3 linked regions of the Xenopus tropicalis genome follow. The protein of the gene in region 1 purifies or fractionates together with the protein of each later gene. This does not show direct contact. Links are inferred from orthologs where the notes say so. Each region holds a gene or a part of one and is shown in the gene's direction. Other genes may lie near its edges.

Region 1 (3,758 bases):
TAGCCTAAATCTCACCATAATTATGTCTCAGGCTGCCCCTCTGCCCACTGCTCCTCCATTGTGCTCCCTGCGATTTAGCACCTGGTGTAATATTCCAGTGCTTTGACTGAGAGGCTCTCCTAGGGAGCCAAATTAAAAGGGTAAACAAGATAACTAGTAACAGTTAACAGATTTTCAGGTTAACATTTGTAAGCTTTGGACACTTAAGGTGGCCATACACGGGCCGATTCTAGCTGCCAATATCTTTTTAAAATTTTTACCCCTGATGAAGACCCTTGATGGGTTGAAATGCGTTTGACTATACTTGCTATGATGTGTTTTTCGTATTGAATAAATTTCATTTTTTACTTATTGGTTTTGAGTGTGGAGATACTTTTTGCTTTCTTTAATATTGGCCCTTTAGACCAGTTCGGCAGCTTATCTGCCCATGTGTGGACACAAACGATGGGCCTGCCCCAACGATATCTGCCCTGAAATCGGGCAGATCTCGCTTGGGCAGGTTTGATTTTTCCGTTGGATCAGGGACAGCATCAGCTCGTTGATGCTGTCCCCAATCCGATGGCGCCTATACCTGCCGTTCTAATTTGATCGATTGGCCCCAGGGCCAAACGACCAAATTGGCCCAATATTGCCCACCCATAGGTGGGGATATCGGGAGAAGATATGCTTGCTTGGCGAGTTTTAGAAAGTATTAGCCAAAGTATTTTATCTGGTGGAGAAACGTCATGCCATTTAGATGAATGGAAACTACCTGTCACTGCTGGGGACAAACCGTTTCCATTCATCTACATAACAGGTGGCACAGAGATGTATCTGGCCATTTTTGACTGGCATATTTCAGCGATACATGTGCCACTGGCCTTAGGCTTGGGTTCAACAGAATAATAAAAAATGGAAATGTTGTGATACTCTTGCATTAATAGTACCTTTATCTTTGCAATGTGTTCCTGACTCTCTAATTGATTTACCTACCTCTTATCATATTCCGCTTGCATTTGAATTTGTCATCTCAATGCCATTATGAATTCTTTCCAGGCTTTACATCACATTACTGAGCCATGGTGGAGTATTACGATGTCCTGGGAGTCCAGAGGAACGCCTCTCCAGAAGATATTAAGAAAGCGTAAGTATTCCCTGGTTTGACGCTGAGGATATCCACTCTTATGGGGGGATTATTAAAACCATAGCACCTGGATACTTTATACTTTGTTTTTTTTGTATATAAAATTTTTTTTGGCAAGGATATTTTAGCCAGGAGTGCCCTCCATTTCTCTAAATTGACGCTGAGGATATGACTGGGCCATTGTGTGACAGCTCCATACACAGGCTGATGGGGGTTTCCACTCAGGAGGGATTGATGATGATGACGATGATGAGGAGGCACATAAAAGGCATGAGAGAACATGGCTGGGAAAGGATTAATTAGAGGAAAGATATGGAACACCCTGTGTGGCGGAACCTTATTTGCAGTTTGAAAGTTGCATTTAATGTTGCATTTCAATACCAATTACTAAACCCTATTCTCAATCAACTTGTATTCCAGATACCGCAAGCTAGCCTTAAAGTGGCACCCAGACAAGAACCCCGACAATAAAGATGAAGCCGAGAGGAGGTTCAAAGAAGTTGCTGAAGCTTATGAGGTCCTGTCAGATTGTAAGTATCTTCCCAAGACTCTTCCAACTTCCTTGGCTTGTAATTGTTTCCTTACTAGGCGCCCGATTTGCCCAAGGAGTTTGTTTTCATATATGGCATGATCGTTATTCAGCTGACACGAGTGATAGATCCTATCAATATTTATAATTAGGCTTGGCTTAAGCATACTAATCACTGACTGAGCTAATGAATTTAAAGGAGACATATTGTGTAAAAAACAAGAATGTGGTAGTGCATTATGCTCCTCTAAATACAGAAGGAATGTACTTTAAAAAGTTGTGTTTCAGGTGGATTTATTGAAAATTTCTCCAAAAACCCCACTAGTCCCGCCCATCTGTTCCACTCCCTGCTGCCTCCTTTCCCAGGCTGTGCAGGGGGGCCGGCGGCACTCGGCACACTGCATTGTAGGATAGGAACCAGAATTAAACCCTGCCTTTGCTTGTGTGACTGCAGGGCTGTGGTTGGCTGTGCTTCCTCCAGGGACGATTAGGACACACCCACCTTTTATTTGAAACACCGGCAGGGACCTGAGAGGATCTATAAGGAGCTCCAATAAAGGGGCCACAGATAGAATTAAGCACCATATATTATTCATAATTGCCTAAAAGATTGAGGGGGGATTTCACTTATCCTACATTTCTTCTTTAAAAAAAATGGTCATTATGCCCTTTCTGCTGAAAAGGGGTTTACGGTAAAAGTAGATTATTGAAGGATCCTTTGTTAATTTGTTTTCTATATTGTTGTGGGTATTACACTCATAATAAGGTGCTGGCCACTGGTATAAAACTTAGATAACAAACGTCATGTTAGTAGCTAAGCCGTCATACTGCTTGGAGAAAGTGTCAGAGCGGCTTTTGCAGCCTATTTAAAGGAGAAGTACACCACTTCCTGCTTTGTCTTAGTCCAGTAAGCAGGTTAGACTGATCTGTTGTTTTGTTTGGTTGAGGCTGGTGGGACGCGGCGAGGCACTTTTGAGCCTGGCCCTCGTGTGTTGGAATGCATTGCTTATTTATAGCCGTGTCTGTCCCCAGCTGCTGGGGAGACACACAAATACATCACAACAATGTTCTGCCTCAGAGAGAGACTGTGTGAAATTGTATCCTGAAATGATTTGCTAACTCCACTTAGACTAAACGGCTTGTATTTTATTTATTTATATTTGTTTGTTTCTTTCCCTTATAGCTAAAAAGAGGGATATTTATGATAAATATGGAAAAGAAGGATTGACAGGTGGTGGAGGTAAGTGCTAGTTTCATTTTAAACTTTTAACGCTATATTTATACCTCATTTATGCTTCCATGCAACTTAGATCCATTTCAGGGCCGTCTAGTTGGCTAGAGACCCTAATGTGCTCTATTTAATTGCCACTTGAGACCCAGCTACAGTGTGCAGCCTTTTCTTGCAGTCCAAGCCTAATTACACAGTGCGAAGAGTTCTATCAGATTGCCACAGAAATTCCTTGAGACCACAATATTCCATGCTTCTATATCCCTGTACTATGTGCAACCTTAATTGTATTTGATTACCTTTTATATTAAGAACAACTAATGCCGTTTTTCTATCTTTCAAGCTAATTAGGTTCTTTCTTATTTTTATTTTAGGCGGCAGTCACTTTGATAATCCATATGAGTTTGGATTTACATTCCGAAGCCCAGACGATGTTTTCAGGGATTTCTTTGGGGGAAGAGACCCATTTTCATTTGATTTATTTGGTATAGTGCACATATTTGTATTTTCTTTAATCTTAGATGTTTCTGCCGGGTTAAGGATTGTAATGTTACAGGTATTATTATATTACTGGTGTCAGGGAGTAATTTATATCCTGTTTCTCTTCCAGCTGACGATCCATTTGATGACTTCTTTGGCAGAAGAGGCCACAGAGCAAACAGAAGCAGGCCAGGGGGTTCCTTTCTCTCTACGTTTGGAGGTTTCCCTGCCTTTGGTCCTACCTTCTCTCCATTTGACTCGGGTACAGAGATGCAATACTCCTTTATCTGCACACTCAAGTTTTTGTCCAATGAAGGGATAAATGAATGCACAGACATCTGCAAATGTTTTATGTGTGTCTTGATTTAACATTCCTGCTACTGATGCCATTTTTTTAA
Region 2 (3,135 bases), on another chromosome or scaffold:
ATATTTGTTAAACACAGAAACCCCTAATATACCCATCACTGTAATCTGTTCCTTAAAGTAGGAATGAATACCATTTTTATATGCTGAAATCCAGCTGCAAAGCAGTTCTTCTCTTTCTGCATCATTTGAAATCCTGGCAGGGGAGGAGGGACTAAAACATTGATGTTACAAATTGTAACAACTTCTCCACAGCTTACAGACAGCATGCAGGAACTATATAACCCATAATGCATTGCACTGTGATGTTCCTTTCCTTAATGGCATCATATGTACAGGGAATTGTGGGATATGGAGGATGCAGACTGACAGGACAGGCGACTACTGATACATTTTATTTGAGCCTCAAAGTAGTCAGATCAGCAGGGGGCGGGGCTTAGGGAACTGTTACAAACCATATTATTACATTACAAATTATGAAAAGGCTGCATATTTTTAATTGATGTATATTGCAAAGTTGCTTGAAATTATGTTTACTTTTCAAAAAGCTCAAGTTGTGTTTGGGTAGAGAATAAACTGAGTGTACATATGTGTGTATTATTGATTAATGCAGCTAGGGAAAAATCAGCTTTATTTAGAAGCTGTAAATGACCCCTGTCTCATATGTATTACTGTATAGTGTGCCAGGCAGGGCTAATAATCTTGTGGTTATGGGGATTCACGTCCCCTTAGAAATATGTATTTATTTGTGCATGTTTGTTACGTATGGCTGACAGATAATTTTATAGTATAGATGGCGGGGGTTATAAGAGTCAGCTTAGCTTTAAACAGACCTATTGACTTGACCGTGGCAGAGTTGAGTGCCGGCAGTGACCCCCCCTTATTCCCATGAATTCAACACAGGGTGGATACCTCTTTACAGGGCCCTTTTAATAAATGGGCAAAAGGGGCATTTGCCAAGGGGCAAACTTTTGGCAGAAGCATTGAGCAAAGATGGCTGACCCCTCATTAACTTGAAGAGCTCTATAGTAGGGTTATTGTAATTTCTTTCCATTTTTCCTTTGGCATCACCCAGGGCTGTTGGTCGAGGGCAGCACACCAGTGGATCAAGGGTTGCCACCTGTCTGGGTTAGATAGGTGATGACATCAGCGGTTTGTGTGGTGACATCATCACAAACACCCCTTTTTCTGGGTTTATAACCTGGCAAAGGTGGAAAGCCATGTCTTCAGTCAAACCAGACCATTTCTTTACTGCCTGCTTTACTATATCAAACTTTACGTGCTTGAGGGTTATTCTATCACAAATTGCTTGGGGCAGTGGGGGCCCACCAGTGAAATTTTGCCCAGGGCCCCCTGGTACCTTTTAAGCAGCCCTACCTCTTTATGGTTACTATAGAAATTAAAAATGAATTTTTGATTGAATTAGCTACCAAGGGGGAGGCATTCAGTGACTGGGCTACAAATGAGCAAGCGTTAAGTCCGTAGCATAGTGTCATATTGGCAGCAGTGTTACTGGGGCTTTTGTGTATCTTTCTCTGTATAAACACAGAGAGCGTTGAACATAGTCCCTCTTTATGGATTATTTTAGCAATGTACCTTTACCTGTGTTCCTTTGTATTGCACAACCTAAACCAACAGCCAGTTTCCACATTACAAATCTTTAACTGGTATTTCCTTCCTTCCCCTGCAGCCTATAACCTGGCCAAGGAGCAGAGGCTGAACTTCGGAGATGATATCCCCAGTGCCCTGAGAATCGCCAAGAAGAAACGTTGGAACAGCATAGAAGAGAGACGAATCAACCAGGAGAATGAGCTGCACTCCTATCTCACCAAACTCATCCTGGCCGAGAAAGAGAGGTGGGGGTGGCCATTTGGCCTTCAGCCTCGGCCATAAGATACTTGTATGGGATGGGAATGAGCTTTTATGTTGGGTTCTTTGAACATGTCTATGGATCACGTCTCCGCCACAGCTCGGCCTCAGCTAATATTTTTATTTTATCCTTCGTTTACAGAGAACTTGAAGAAGCAAAGCGAAAACACCAAGAGGATAGTGTAGAGGAGAGTAGAAGTCGAGCCCTGTTGTCTAGTGTGGCTTCCAAACATGTGAGTAGGAGTCTTATGGGGGCATAGTGTTCTGGGGTTTCTTGCACCATTATTGTCTTTCTTGCTAGGCTGGGTTATCTAACGCAGGATGGAAATTTCCATGGATATTCCTGCTTGTAAGGGTTGTGGCAGAGATATTTGATTGTGTAGGCAGAGTTCATAAGGTCAAATTATCCCGATGTTGCCCACCTACATTACCTACAATACACAAGGTCACCAAACGAGCAGATCTTCTCCTGATATGCCCATTTCAGGTGGGCAACATCGGGATAATTTGATCATTTGGCCTTAGGACCAAATTACAATGAGCCGTCAATGAGTCGATGCGGTCCCCGAAGGTCCATCAGGGGGCCCCATACATGGGCAGATAAGGTTTTGAATCAGTCTAAATCACTCCAATCAGAAGCTTAAATCTACTTGTATATGGCCACCTTTATATACTGCTTTTCCACTGTCTCAGTACCTAAAGGGAAACCATGTTGGAGAGGGGTGCCACTGTGCTCAATAAGACAGTCCCTTTTACTTGATGGTAACTAAGCTGTATGAATCCATATTGGTGACTAAACAATCCTATTCGGTTTATGTCAGCTTTAAAGGGGTTGTTCAGCTTTGAGTTAACTTTTAGTATGATGTAGAATGATATTCTGAGATTGGTCTTCATTTCTTAATATTTGTAGTTTTTTAGTTATTTTCTTTTCAGTCCTGGAGCTCTCCAGCTTGGAGTTTCAACAGCTATTTGGATGCTAGGGTTCAAGTTACCTTAGCAACCAGGGAGTGGTTTGGATATCAGAGGGCCTGAATAGAAGAGAAAGTTACAAAAAGTAACAATAAAACTGGAGCCTCACAGAGCAGTAGTTTTTGGGCTGCTGGGGTCAGTGACCCCCATGTAAAAACTGCAAAGATTTTGGAGAAAAAGGCAAATGATTAAAAAACTATAACAAATAAATAACGAAGACCAGTTATAAAGTTGCTTAGAACTCCCATACCGTTGGCCATATTTAGGGTTGTGCCCATCAGAGCCAAGTTCCATGCCAAAACACCCCGCTTAATATATATAAGGGATGCTGGTTTATTGGTTGTATCAGCTGAGGCCTTG
Region 3 (3,658 bases), on another chromosome or scaffold:
TGTGGGCCGGGAGACTGCAGGAGGCTGTGTGGGCCGAGAGACTGCAGGAGGCTGTGTGGGCCGAGACACTGCTGGAGACGCGTGGGTTGGGCTAAGGGCAGAGGCGTCAGTGCTTAGAGGAATAACAGACAGTGTTACAGTTACACTTGTGCATTTATTTATTATTATCTGTTCAGCCAATAGAGACGCTTCGAGTGACAAAGGATCGACGTTCTGATTGGGCGTCATGTTTCACTTTATGAGAGACACCGAGCCACAAGACCCGGCCATGTTCCTCATGTGAGTGTGCGGCCAATACGACTGCCAGCCTTGTGTGCAAGTGCCACCCAGAGTCTCACACTGTTCCTCTCTTACAGGGACCCGTTCGCTCTGCATCGCCAGCACATGCGCCACATGTTCTCCGGGGACTACGGCGTGTCCCCCTTCCTGAGCCTCACCGACGGCAGTGTCAGGGGGCTTCCCCGGCCCGCCCCCTCGCGCACAATACAGGTCAGAGTCCCCCCTTTATGTCTCAGCCATGCTGCTTACCTCTGGGAACAACTGCACTCTATAGGTCGCTGCCAGTCACATGTTCTGTATGTGCTGAGTCTGTGCAACTGAACAACAGAAGCAAATGGCTGCCATTGTATCCTGTACCTGCCTGGCACATTCTGCTCAACCTCAGTGTCATTGTGCAAATACAATGGCTGGGAGTTACAGTTGAATTAAACCATTTGGGCAAATTACATATGGAGTAAAACATTACCGATGATGTTGCTCATAGCAGCCAATCAGATGCTTTGCTTTGGTTTTCTAATTGTTTTTTATTGCTTGAATGGTTGTTGCCATGGGCAACATCACTGGTAATGCTACACTTTTTACACAGCATGATAAGTATACCCCCTATAACTGTGTGTAAGCCCCCTTACACTTTATTTCTCCAACTTTAAAACATAGGAACAAAGAAAATAGTAATTGGGGGACGTGCTCCATAAACACTGATTTTCCAGGGTTCCTCACCCAAATCACCTCTAGGGTCCCATTTAACCTAGCAACCAGGCAGTGATTTGAAAGAGAGACAGGAATATGAATAGAGGAGGGCTTAGATAAAAAGATACGTACTAAAAAGGAAAAATAACAATAAAACTGTGGCCTCTCAGCAATAGTTTTTTGCTGCTGGGGTCAGTGACCCCCCCCCCCCTCCTATTTGAAAGAGTCAGAAGAAGGCGGCAAATAATTTTTTTTTAAAAAAACTATACAAACTAAAAAATGAAGACCAATTAACATACTAAAGGTTAACCTGAAGATGAGCCACCCCTTTATTAATAGGAAAGGAACATCCCAGTGCAATGCATTGTGGGTTATTCCGTTCCTGCATGCTGTCTGTAAGCTGTGGAGAAGTTGTTACAGTTTGTAACATCAATGTTTTAGTCCCTCCTCCCCTGCCAGGATTTCAAATGATACAGAAAGAGAAGAACTGTTTTGCAGCTGGATTTCAGCATATAAATGGTATTTATTCCTACTGTTTGAAGGAACAGATTACAGGGATAGGGATATTAGGGGTTTCTGTGTAGTTCCCCTTTAACCAAATACTGGCACGTAACTGTACGGTGAGTGTGGCACAATAATCTTTGGCTCACTGTGCTGAGAGTTTGCTTGTTTCCCTGTGTTCCTTGTTGTACTGGATTTTCTATCTCACAATGACTTCCTTTCCTTTCCATGTTCCCTCTCGGTGCTGCCGTCATCGTGGCCCTTACCAGCAAGGTGCGGTTACCCCTTATGGCATGATGGGAATGGTGAGTGCAACAGTAGCAAGCACGTGTACTGTACATTAAAGGGAAAATATACCTCTCAGATGTACTGTACATTAAAGGGAAAGTATACCTCTCAGATGTACTGTACATTGAAGGGAAAATATACCTCTCGGATGTACTGTACATTAAAGGGAAAATATACCTCTCGGATGTACTGTACATTAAAGGGAAAATATACCTCTCAGATGTACTGTACATTAAAGGGAAAATATACCTCTCGGATGTACTGTACATTAAAGGGAAAATATACCTCTCGGATGTACTGTACATTAAAGGGAAAATATACCTCTCGGATGTACTGTACATTAAAGGGAAAATATACCTCTCGGATGTACTGTACATTAAAGGGAAAATATACCTCTCGGATGTACTGTACATTAAAGGGAAAATATACCTCTCGGATGTACTGTACATTAAAGGGAAAATATACCTCTCGGATGTACTGTACATTAAAGGGAAAATATACCTCTCGGATGTACTGTACATTAAAGGGAAAATATACCTCTCGGATGTGCTGTACATTAAAGGGAAAATATACCTCTCGGATGTGCTGTACATTGAAGGGAAAATATACCTCTCGGATGTGCTGTACATTGAAGGGAAAATATACCTCTCGGATGTACTGTACATTAAAGGGAAAATATACCTCTCGGATGTACTGTACATTGAAGGGAAAATATACCTCTCGGATGTGCTGTACATTGAAGGGAAAATATACCTCTCGGATGTGCTGTACATTGAAGGGAAAATATACCTCTCGGATGTACTGTACATTAAAGGGAAAATATACCTCTCGGATGTACTGTACATTGAAGGGAAAATATACCTCTCGGATGTACTGTACATTGAAGGGAAAATATACCTCTCGGATGTACTGTACATTGAAGGGAAAATATACCTCTCGGATGTACTGTACATTAAAGGGAAAATATACCATCTCTCTAACCAGGAACAAGATTAGGGACAGGTTGAAAGACTCTGCCAGTCTGCATGGTGACGGGGAAAGGGTCTGTAGGAGTCAGAGGCCGACTAATCTCCTTTATCATGGTTTCCTCTCAGTCTGAGTAACTATGTCTGTCTGTAAAACAGACAGTTTCAATAGTGTTTAGGTACATTTTTTACATAAGGGTGCGTAATTTGCCCTTTTAATGAACAGAACAACCAGAAGCGCAGGCATTCAGACCAGTAATACATTTGTGTTATGTGGGTTGATGGAGTTCATTAATCAATTATGAAGCAATTATCTAAACCTCCTCGATAAAAATGAATCTCTTTACCAAAAGGCTTTTGGTAAATGAGGCTATGTTTTATAGAAAACATGTGTCCCCCCTGGAGGTGTGGTCTAATAGATCCCACAATCCACTGGGGGAAGATAATACTATTTTTGTCATATGTTTGTGCTCATTATACACATGCATTGGCACCAACATGGCCGCCTACAGCCGGAGCTCCCTACGTAGGTTGCACAGTGGCCCCGGGGGGCATTATCTTGCAAGAATAGTATTGTTTTCCCCAATTGGAGTCCAAGCTCTATTAGACTGGGGGGGAAACATGACACACATCCGCCTGTAAAGGAAATGCTAATACTGCTAACAGCCATGTAGGTAGGGAAATATTGCGGCCTGTTATAGATTAGACAAAAAAGATAAATCATGTAAAGAAATGTTTAGATTTTTTCTCTTGATGTGGTGGCATGATTTGTGTGTACTATAGTATGTAGGTCAGTGTGACCCGTGAGTCATGCCTTTAACTCTATAGCAACTCAGGCATTCGCTGTGCTCTCGGGGTTACGGCACCGTCTCTTTGTTTCATAGATGTGGGAAATGGATATTTTATGTGGTACGGAATGTTTGAGTCTGCTTTCA

Evidence for each region.
Region 2: the proteins of dnajb6 (region 1) and stub1 purify together in Homo sapiens (affinity purification with mass spectrometry; 4 studies listed by BioGRID and IntAct, with this or other methods). This does not show direct contact. The link is inferred for Xenopus tropicalis from reciprocal best matches to the Homo sapiens genes DNAJB6 and STUB1.
Region 3: the proteins of dnajb6 (region 1) and mlf2 purify together in Homo sapiens (affinity purification with mass spectrometry; 3 studies listed by BioGRID and IntAct, with this or other methods). This does not show direct contact. The link is inferred for Xenopus tropicalis from reciprocal best matches to the Homo sapiens genes DNAJB6 and MLF2.

Annotation. Positions count from the first base shown.
Region 1 is NC_030682.2:17,675,403-17,679,160, forward strand, and holds the start of dnajb6 (dnaJ homolog subfamily B member 6), read left to right. Parts: upstream 1-1,045; 5' UTR 1,046-1,058; coding exon 1,059-1,123; intron 1,124-1,543; coding exon 1,544-1,653; intron 1,654-2,835; coding exon 2,836-2,892; intron 2,893-3,254; coding exon 3,255-3,365; intron 3,366-3,490; coding exon 3,491-3,622; intron 3,623-3,758. UniProt on the Homo sapiens protein: Has a stimulatory effect on the ATPase activity of HSP70 in a dose-dependent and time-dependent manner and hence acts as a co-chaperone of HSP70. Plays an indispensable role in the organization of KRT8/KRT18 filaments.
Region 2 is NC_030685.2:14,823,136-14,826,270, forward strand, and holds part of stub1 (E3 ubiquitin-protein ligase CHIP), read left to right. Parts: intron 1-1,627; coding exon 1,628-1,793; intron 1,794-1,948; coding exon 1,949-2,039; intron 2,040-3,135. UniProt on the Homo sapiens protein: E3 ubiquitin-protein ligase which targets misfolded chaperone substrates towards proteasomal degradation.
Region 3 is NC_030683.2:9,834,315-9,837,972, forward strand, and holds part of mlf2 (myeloid leukemia factor 2), read left to right. Parts: intron 1-176; 5' UTR 177-226; coding exon 227-279; intron 280-356; coding exon 357-489; intron 490-1,739; coding exon 1,740-1,775; intron 1,776-3,658.